Ovis aries: one gene and its partners. The protein of the gene in region 1 purifies or fractionates together with the protein of each later gene. This does not show direct contact. Links are inferred from orthologs where the notes say so. Each region holds a gene or a part of one and is shown in the gene's direction. Other genes may lie near its edges. The genes, in order: CANX, TECR and TGFBR1.

What was found.
Region 2: the proteins of CANX (region 1) and TECR purify together in Homo sapiens (affinity purification with mass spectrometry; 3 studies listed by BioGRID and IntAct, with this or other methods). This does not show direct contact. The link is inferred for Ovis aries from reciprocal best matches to the Homo sapiens genes CANX and TECR.
Region 3: the proteins of CANX (region 1) and TGFBR1 purify together in Homo sapiens (affinity purification with mass spectrometry; 3 studies listed by BioGRID and IntAct, with this or other methods). This does not show direct contact. The link is inferred for Ovis aries from reciprocal best matches to the Homo sapiens genes CANX and TGFBR1.

The regions. Positions count from the first base shown.
Region 1 is NC_056058.1:1,394,340-1,397,993, reverse strand, and holds part of CANX (calnexin), read left to right. Parts: intron 1-3,201; 5' UTR 3,202-3,204; coding exon 3,205-3,378; intron 3,379-3,639; coding exon 3,640-3,654. UniProt on the Homo sapiens protein: Calcium-binding protein that interacts with newly synthesized monoglucosylated glycoproteins in the endoplasmic reticulum. It may act in assisting protein assembly and/or in the retention within the ER of unassembled protein subunits.
Region 2 is NC_056058.1:9,554,601-9,557,197, reverse strand, and holds part of TECR (very-long-chain enoyl-CoA reductase), read left to right. Parts: intron 1-1,347; coding exon 1,348-1,398; intron 1,399-2,084; coding exon 2,085-2,136; intron 2,137-2,439; coding exon 2,440-2,484; intron 2,485-2,578; coding exon 2,579-2,597. UniProt on the Homo sapiens protein: Involved in both the production of very long-chain fatty acids for sphingolipid synthesis and the degradation of the sphingosine moiety in sphingolipids through the sphingosine 1-phosphate metabolic pathway.
Region 3 is NC_056055.1:48,711,222-48,714,875, reverse strand, and holds part of TGFBR1 (TGF-beta receptor type-1), read left to right. Parts: intron 1-3,278; coding exon 3,279-3,404; 3' UTR 3,405-3,654. UniProt on the Homo sapiens protein: Transmembrane serine/threonine kinase forming with the TGF-beta type II serine/threonine kinase receptor, TGFBR2, the non-promiscuous receptor for the TGF-beta cytokines TGFB1, TGFB2 and TGFB3.

The DNA.
Region 1 (3,654 bases):
CCCACTCCCTTCAGGACCCTTCCTGACTAGCCTTTCTATCCTCTCACACGTGTTCGGGATGCAGCCACGTTTTGTCTAGTGTAATAGAAATAGGAGATCTGAAGTCTTTGACTCTCACTTATTGGTTGTGATATTGAGTAAATGATTGGGTTGTTTTCATTTCACTACATCTTAGTAATACCTCAAGGGAGGTTTGCAAAATAATGTAACTGTGAAAGTGCTTTTATAAACTGGAACACAAAGCACAAGTTGATGATTCATAAACCCTAGTCAGTGGTTCTCAGGGTAGCAACCTTTGCATCCCCTGGAACCTGATAGGAAGGAAAAGGCCCAGCACGCACACACTCAATCAGCAGTCTGTTTTAAAAAGCCCCCTGAGGCACGCTCAAGTTAGGAAGAGCTGTCTTGTGACATTATACTCAACCCAAGGAGCATTGTGTTAGTCTGCTTGGACTGCCACAACAGCACCACAGGCCGGGCAGCTTAAACAACAGAAAAGTGTTTTCTTACAGTCTGGAAGTCTGTGATCGAGGCGTTGGCAGAGTTGGCTTCTGATGTGGCCTTCCTCCTCAGCTTGCGGAGGGCCACCATCTTGTGTCCTCGTTGGACTTAACCTCTGTGCATGTGGATTCCTGGTTCTCTTCCTCTTACTATAGACACCAGTTAGGGCCCCAACCTTATGACTGCTTTTAACCTTAATTACTTAAAGGTCCTATCTCTAAATATAGTTATGTTGGGAGTTCAAGTTTCAACATACAAATTTGAGGTAGGAGACACAGTTAAGCCTGTAACAGCGGTATATGTTGTATGTGTGTGTGCGCTCAGTTGCTCACTTGTGACCAAATCTTTTACAACCCCATGGACTGTAGCCTGCCAGGTCCTTCCATAGGATTTCCCAGGCAAGAATACTGGAGTGGGTTACCATTTCCTTCTCCAGCGGATCTTCCCGAAATGTGGGTCTCCTTCATTGGCAGACCAGTTCTTTACCACTGAGCCATCTGCAAGCCCATAACATAACAGCAGTATATCAGTAAATTAAAAGATACAGGGAAAAAAATCAGTCTTCCTGTTCTGCAGCTGTACTCTCCCTCACTGAACCCTACCTGAATCCCATTTTTGAAAGTTAAGTAGTTAGTTCATCTCCCCGATTAGCTTTTCCTTGAGCAGCAGTGTTTTAACATCAGTGCACAGTCCTTATTAATTCACTGGCTTTGTGGTTCACTTAATTGCTACTGGGCTTATCACATTTGCCTTTTTGACTTAACTATTTTGTGGGCTAATTTGATTTATAGAGTATCCCTGGGAACCCAACTGCCATTTATAGCATTATTTCTGTGAGGACTTCTTAGGTTGTATACAGTTGATGTAGATAAAAGGGTTGAATCAGCCTGTTTAGTTTCAGAGAATCCAGTGTAGTTGTAAATCAAAGCGATATTGCTACGCCATTGTAGATTTCGGTGGTAGAGAATAGAAGCCTTAACAGTGAAAAATTGAAATTACTGGCATTTCTTGGTATATAAGAAGCCATAGCAGAATGTTGACATTGAGAGTTTTTAAACTCTAATACCAGTCCTAGGAAAGATGATGAGTGAGTTTTTATTTTTATAAAAATCTTTTATTTCTTTATTTTCTGTGCTGCCTAGGAGTCCAGTGAGCCTTACTTTCTTTCATTTTGTGAAAACAGTACCCACGCTTTATAAATAAAGGAAATGCCGCCAAATGATACATGAAAGTCTAGTTCTATATAATCAATCACTTTAAAGGATTATAGCATTTATAAGGAATTAGGCGTTAAATTCAGCATTAGAATAAGTTGATTTACCAGTGACCAAAAAATTAAGCTATTTTATTTTAATAAAATCTTTTTTATAGCAGTGAAAATACTTGTAAGATTTACCATCTTAACCATCAAGTTCAGTGGCATTGAGTATGTTCATATTGTTGTACAGCTTTCACCTCCATCCGTCTCGAGAACTCTTCATCTTGCAGAATTAAAATTCTGTACAACCTACTGCCGAATCATTTTGTGCATCCGTGTGGCTCAGTTTTTGTATCTTTAGATCTGTGGTTTTGGAGAGAGGATTGACTACCATCCATGACAGTCAGATATGATATGTAAGACACTTGAAGGCTTAGAAAAAAGAGATAAAAATAGTTGGTCTATGGTTTAATATATTTTTTTGTTTTTCGGAGAAGGCAATGGCGCCCCACTCCAGTACTCTTGCCTGGAAACTCCCATGGACGGAGGAGCCTGGTGGGCTGCAGTCCATGGGGTGGCACAGAGTCGGACATGACTGAGCGACTTCTCTTTCATTTTTCACTTTCATCCACTGGAGAAGAAAATGGCACCCCACTCCAGTGTTCTTGCCTGGAGAATCCCAGAGACGGCAGAGCCTGGTGGGCTGCCGTCTTTGGGGTTGCACAGAGTCGGACACGACTGAAGTGACTTAGCAGCAGCAGCATGGTTTAATATATTTTTTTGTTGAATCTTAAAACTGATGTATTATTTATTTACTTGGCTTATTGGGTCTTAGTTGCTGACAGGTGGGATCTTTGCATCCTGCGGGGTCTGGTTTTAGTGCAGGACCTTGTTGAGCATGGAGTCTCGAATTGTGGCCTGTTTGCTCTGGGCTTAGTTGCTCTGTTGCATGGAGGATCTTAGTTCCCCAGCCATGGATCAAACTCAAGTCCCCTGCTTTGCACAGGGTTCCCTGGAAGTCCCTTAAAACACTAATTAAAAAACATACCTATTCTTCTTGATCTTTGGACAAAAACAGCAGCATCTAATCTAAATTAAGTCTTTAATGTGAGGCAAGTTAACTCCTCTGTTATTTCATTGTAATGTTTTAACTCGTTTAAACTATTCTGTAAAAGGGGCTTTGTCTATTGTAAAGCTCTTTACAAATGCAAGAAGTTATTTTGAAATTATATCTGAACACCCTAGGTCTGTGTAGCCAACATGATATTCTATATGGGGACAATTGTTTGAGTTATAGTTTGAATTTTTTCTTGAAATTGAATCTTTTAACTAACTGATTTTAGGAAAACCTGTTATTCTGAGTTCACTTTCTTTATCTATAAAATGAAATACAGTAAAGTTCCTTTCAGCTCTGATTTGAAAGCCTTAATTTTAAATAAGGGTTCAAAATTTTTGAAAGGAGGTGATACAATTAACTGTATTTTTTTTTAATAAATACTTAGATCATGGAAGGGAAGTGGTTGCTGTGTATGTTACTGGTCCTTGGAACTGCTCTTGTTCAAGCTCATGATGGACATGACGATGATGTGATTGACATTGAGGATGACCTTGATGACGTCATTGAAGAGGTAGAAGACTCGAAACCGAAGCCAGATGCCAGCAGTCCGCCATCGCCAAAGGTTTGACATGATCTTTGAATCTGTTTGTTTTGCCTCTTGAGATGATCAAAAGATGAAGGTACATTTTGGATCCTTACCAAAGGGAAAGCAAAATTTGCTAAAATACTTATTGCTCTCCCTGTCAACCTTTGTTATATTGTCCCAAAGATAAATTATATGGGTTGAATTTGAGGGCCAGTCATGCAAGTGTGAAAGCAAACCAAGAGAATAGATCCTACTGAGAATATTTTAATTCTTAATTCATTTTTATGTTTAACACAGGTCACCTACAAAGCT
Region 2 (2,597 bases), about 8.2 Mb from region 1:
TGCCCTCAGAGAGCCTTGTTCAGGGCCCTGCCCTGGGTTCCACGTTCTCCTTTTCTCCATGCTGCCTCCGATGAGGGCCTGCCAGGTGGGAAGGGCCTACTTGGGGTCAGACCCAGCCCTGCCTGGGTGTCTGATAAGATCCGAATCAAGCCCTGCCCCAGGGGCCTCAGACCTTTCATGACAGGCTGGGGCTGCTAGGCCTCACTCCAGCTCCCCCAAGTTAGCACCTTTCACTGCTGGCTGGCATGCCTTCTGTCTGCCTGCTTAGAGCGGGTGGGTCAGACTCCCCTCGGAGCCCTGCCCCTCCCAGCATTGCCCCCGTGCTCCCCTGACTGGGGCTCAGAGACTAGGGGGTGCCTGGGATGTCTGCTCTGGGCTCTGGGGGCTCAGAGCCTGGACAAAGATGTTGTGCTGGGCTGGTGTGGTGGAAGGACTGCCCTGGTGGTGGCCTTGAACAAGGCCTGGGTGGGCCTGATGAGAAGCAGGCGGAGAGGGGGCCATGGAGGTGGGGGCCAAGGTCTCAGGATTGGTTGAGGGTGCTTGGTGGAAGCTTCTCCATTTCCAGACCCTTTCCACGCTTAGAATGAGGCTCTCCGCGCTGGGAACCCCGGAATCTGTCACCTTCCCTGGGAACATGAACGCACGAGGAAACTAATCCAGAGTGTCCCTTGCAGCTCAGAAGGGGAAATGAATGATCTATCTCACGGATTCTCAGAATAGCTGGGATTTCTCCAAGCCCAGGGAGCTCTGAGGGCTGAGCTGGGCCCTGGGCTGCCCGCTGACCTCTCCCCCTCCTCCTGGTGGACTAGCCCTTGCTCTGCACTGGGCTGGGACCCGCCTCCGTGCCCATCCTGGGCATCTCCCTGCCGTACTGTTGGGGGTCCACGTCCACTGGAAAGCCTTACAGTCGGAACCCCCCAGGCCTGGGGGTGCTGCTCCCAGGTGCCCCCCACCCCGGGAGGTCTGTGGTGTGGCTCCTGGGGGACTCCGGTGGGGCAGTTTTATATTTAGCTGGGTCGTGGCTGCTGGGCCACTCAGGTTACATCTGCACAGAAGCTGGCAGTGCCAGGGCAGGCACGGGCTTCCTTCCAGCACCGCGGCAGAATTTGATCGCGCCGGCCCGACCCAGAGCGCCTCGCGTGGGGAGGTCTGTGGTGGGGGCTGACGGCCGGCAGCTGGGGACTCTGGCCGCTGCGGGCAGAGCGGGGAGGCATGGACCTGAGCGTGAGCCTGGCGGCCCGGGACAGCAGCCAGGGGCTCGGCCCTGGCTTTGGCCTCAATGGCCTCCCCCGGCCTGCGCCCCCCAAAGCGACCAAGAAACCTAAAAAAGCCGTTCTCTTCTTCGAGGTGGAGATTCTGGATGCCAAGACCCGGGAGAAGCTGTGCTTCCTGGACAAGGTAGGACCGGCCGTGGCGCCAGCTTTGTGGGCCCGAGGGTGCTGGGCCTGGGACTCCTCCTTTTCTGGGGTCTTGGCCCCTGGGGAGATGGATATGCCCCTCCAGCTGTGTCCTGACAGCCACCCCCTGCCCTTCAGGGTGTGCAGGACGGGTGTGTCCCTGCGCCTGCCCCTGCCACTCGGCCCCTTGGGGCAGAGCGTCCTGTTCCCTGGGTGTGGTCTGGAGCTGGCCTCATGGTGTATGAGCAGGCCGTGCAGCTTCAGTGGACCCTGCAGGGCTCTGGTGCCTGGGAGAGAGGTGGGGTCCTGAGACCTGCCCCCTTCTGAGGCCAGTCCAGGGGAGTGGGGTGGTCCCATCCCAGGGAGGTCTGGAAAAGACTGAGGGCCTTGACTCGGGGAGGAGCTGTGGGTGGGGTGGAGAGGAGGGGCAAAGCAGGCTTGGCTTCCATGCTCACACCATCCCCCAGCTGGTCCAGAGGCGTCCTGGCTGCCTGGTTAAAATGGCCTTCTGGCCCATGGTTGTGGTGTCGGCTGGATGAGTTGGGGGGCCTGGTCTCCAACCCTCCCCCTCTCATAGCAGTTGTCTAGGACCCCAGTCCATCCCACCTCCCCAGGAGAGACCCTGGGCCCCTGGCCCTCCAAACTCTCTGCCACAACTGACTTGTCTCCGGCCTGTGCTTCCCCCAGGTGGAGCCCCAAGCCACCATTGCTGAGATCAAGAACCTTTTCACCAAGACTCGTAAGTCCAGGGCCCAGACACACGGCTCCCTGTGACCCCTCTGGGCAGGGGCCTCTAGGTGGGACCCCATCCTGCCTGCCTCTCCCTCAAGGGCCTGCAGAGATGCCCCTGGTGTGGCCCAAGCCTCTCGGGGCTGGCCTGGGGCCGCCGCCCCCGTGTGGCCACCCGCAGGAACGCCCTTGCAGGGCTTCCGGAAGGACAACATCCCCCTCTTGCTGCGCTTCCGTTCCGTGTCTGGGAGCCACACCGGGGCCCATAGGAGCCCACTTGGCCGTGTGCCTTGACACCCTACTCTCCCTACAGACCCACAGTGGTACCCCGCCCGCCAGTCCCTCCGCCTGGACCCCAGTGAGTACAGCCGTCTGCTGGGCTGCCCCCGGGCTCCAGGGTGGCCGTGGGCTTAGGCCCAGCAGCCCCTGAGCCCTGGCCCAACTCTCCTCAGAGGGCAAGTCCCTGAAGGA
Region 3 (3,654 bases), on another chromosome or scaffold:
TAGCTTATGTGTAGAGCACATCATGTGAAACGCTGGGCTGGATGAACCTCAAGCTGGAATCAAGACTGCTGGGAGAAATACCAATAACCTCAGATAGGCAGATGATACCACCCTAATGACAGAAAGTGAAGAGGAACTAAAGAGCCTCTTGTTGAAGGTGAAAGAGGAGAGTGAAGAGGCTGGCTTAAAACTCAACATACAGAAAACTAAGATCATGCATCCAGGATCATCACTTCATGGCAAATAGGTGGGGAAAAAATGGAACAGTGAAAGACTATTTTCTTGGGCTCAAAAATCACTGAATGGTGACTGCAGTCATGAAATTAATAAAGATGCTTGCTCTTTGGAAGAAAAGCTATAACAAACCTAGACAACATATTTAAAACAGAGGTATCACTTTGCCAACACAGGTCTGTATAGTCAAAACTATGGTTTTTCCAGTAGTCATGTATGGATGTGAGAGTTGGACCATAGAAGCCTGAGTGCCTAAGAATTTATGGTTCCGAACTGTGGTGCTGAAGAGTCCCTTGGACAACAAGGAGATCAAACCAAGTCAACCCTAAAGGAAATCAACCCTGAATTTTCATTGGAAGGGCTGGTGCTGAAGCTCCAATACTTTGGCCACCTGATGTGAAGAGCTGACTCATTGGAAAAGACCCTGATGCTGGGAAAGATTGAGGGCAGGAGAAGCAGGTGACAGAGGATGCGATGGTTGGATGGCATCATTGACTCAATGGACATGAATTTGAGCAAACTCTGGGAGATAGTGAAGGACAGGGAAGCTTGGCGTGCTGCATTCCATGGAGTCAGAAAGAGTCAGACACAACTGAGTTAACAACCATTATTATGATACTATTATAATATTGGTAAAACAAAGCATTTCCCTTTGGAGTTGATGTTTTGTAGTATAGGAAGAATAAAAAGCTGTTCACTTAAGTAGTTTATTTTACATCTTAAAAGTAGGACACAACTGAAGCGACTTAGCAGCAGCAGACTTCATTAGATACTTGTGAGATCAAGAGAGTTCCTTGGCTGCCTCCAATGAAATCCAGTATGCAGGCCCAGACAAAATATATTGTGTGCTCACAGAACCTGCATGTTTAACAAATGAAATTGGCCTAGATTTTGTCTTTGAAAAATTTCATCTTGACACTACAAACTGGAATTATTCATGCACTCATTCAATAAGCAAATTAGAGCAAATTAATATTAAACAGATGGCTAATTAAGCATGAAGTTAGTAGTTAACATTAAAAACATACATGCAAGTTGCAATTACTGTCGCAGCATGTTGAATTAATGCCATCACTGTCATTTTAGATTTTCTCTCGATTTAGCTAGTTTTGTATCACTAACTTAATCTTTCACTTTTCTTGGGTTTTACAAATCTCCCCTCAGTAGCTGAAACACATTGAGAATTTGAAACTGATAGGATGCCTACGGAAGTGTTTTTCAGAGCCCTCTGACCTTTTCCAGTCTGAAAAGCCAGTCTGGCTCTAGGCCAGCTTTCATCTTGGGATATCCCTCACCTTTCACCTGTGATCTCTCTTGCCTCTTCTGTGGTGACTGCCTTTCTGAATCCCATGTCTTCACATTTCTTGGTTTGCTCATTTATCCCCCTCTTCCAGCTCTTTGCTCAGATGTTACCTTGTCAGTGAGACGTTACCTGTCAATCTATTTAAAATAGCACTTTCCCCCCCCCCTGGCATATTTTATCTCCTTCCCTAAATGATGTTTCTCCTCAGCACTTAGCACGGACAGTCCATGCATTCTGCTTATTTATTATATGCTCTAGCCCTCTATAACGTAAGCTTTATGAGAGCAGAAATGTCGTCTGTTAGTTCACTGCTGTGTCTGTTAGTGTATCCTACCAGATGCATGTAGGATGGCATCTGGATTATGGCACTCAGTTTGCTGGATGATTTTATGCATGTCCTGAACCCTTGGTCATTTTTACCTGAAAACAAATGTTCATTTCTAGGAAATTTTCCTCAAGTATTCCCTTCCATTTTCCGTTCTTTTTCTTCAACTCTGGTTATGAATGTAGACATCCTGAACAGGCATTCTGATTTTCTTGTGTTTTTCTTCCTATTACCCATCTCTTTGTTTTCTTTTCTCTACTTTCTGGGAAAGGAATCCGCCTATATCTTTTGGTCTTATTATTATCACTCAGGTTTATCTTGTGGTTTCATAAAACTTTCCCCAAACCAAACAAAACCCCAAAAAAGTATTGATAAGTCCAGTATCAGTAATCTCTGAAGATATTAATGATGGATTGTTGATATTGTCTTCTATACACCTTTTGGTTTTTCCAAGGTGTTGTTTTCTGTGTCAGTTTCTGCATTTCATATTACTTTCCTGAAATGTTTGATCAAGCTCATGCTCTGTATAAAAGCAGCACTGAAAGCTGATAGGAAGCTTTGTGCACGTGAATGGAGCTTATCTTCCACTGCAGTCTAAGGGTGAAGTAACTGGATTGCTTCCTTGGGGAACCACTGATGTCTCTCTTTAGGCTTTTCTTCTTGGGCTGAAGACTCTTCTGGTCTCTTACCTGGAGGACCATGTAAAGTCACTGGCCGTGTTCTGGGGAGAAAGTTTACTGTCTTAGCATTTAGTGTGTTGTCAGTGTGGAATTTTGCCCTTATTTCCCCAAGACGGGAATCTGTTCTGCTCTCTCAGATTGAAACCTCTTGTCTTCTGTTCGGATGGGGTGGGATGGTCACCCAGCTGTGTGAAGTTGGGGCAGGGCAGGTATCTGGGTTTCCAGCTTCTTTGGCTGATTCTATTTTTACCCTGAACTTCACCCCAGGGATACAGGATATAAGTTAATTCCTCAGTTTTGGGGGCCATTTCATGTGAGTCAGGTTCTCTTTGCTTTGCACAGCTCTTTTGAGGATTCAGGTTTCTCAGGCTGCCAAGTAAATCCTCCTTTGTCCATCTGCTTTCCAGCTGCTGGCACCAGTATCCTGCTGATGGGAATTTAGGTCATCTTTACTCATTTGCTATTACAAATAATGCTGAAACAGAAATACTTGTATGTCGTTTAAAAAGAAAATTTACAGGTAGATGAGATGGCTGGATGGCATCACCGACTCGATGGATGTGAGTTTGAGTGAACTCCGGGAGATGGTGATGGACAGGGAGGCCTGGCGTGCTGCGATTCATGGGGTTGCAAAGAGTCGGACACGACTGAGCAACTGAACTGAACTGAAAGATTATTATCCAGGTCGTTGAAACATGGTGCATGCATTAATGATCTTTCTTTTCTTTTCTTGTAGGCCTTGAGAGTAATGGCTAAAATTATGAGAGAATGTTGGTATGCCAATGGAGCAGCTAGGCTTACAGCTTTGCGGATTAAGAAAACATTGTCACAACTCAGTCAGCAAGAAGGCATCAAAATGTAAATTCTGTGGCTTTGCCTGAACTCTACTTCTTCTTCAGATCTGCTCCTGGGTTTTAATTTGGGAGGTCAGTTGTTCTACCTCACTGAGAGGGAACAGAAGGATATTGCTTCCTTTTATGACGATGTAACAAGGTGAACTAAAACATCCCAGGATTTCTTCAGACCCAGGAAACTGCCATGTGGGGTCCTTTCTGTGCACTATGAACGCTTCTTTCCCAGGACAGTTACAAAATGTTGTGTAGTCTACCTTT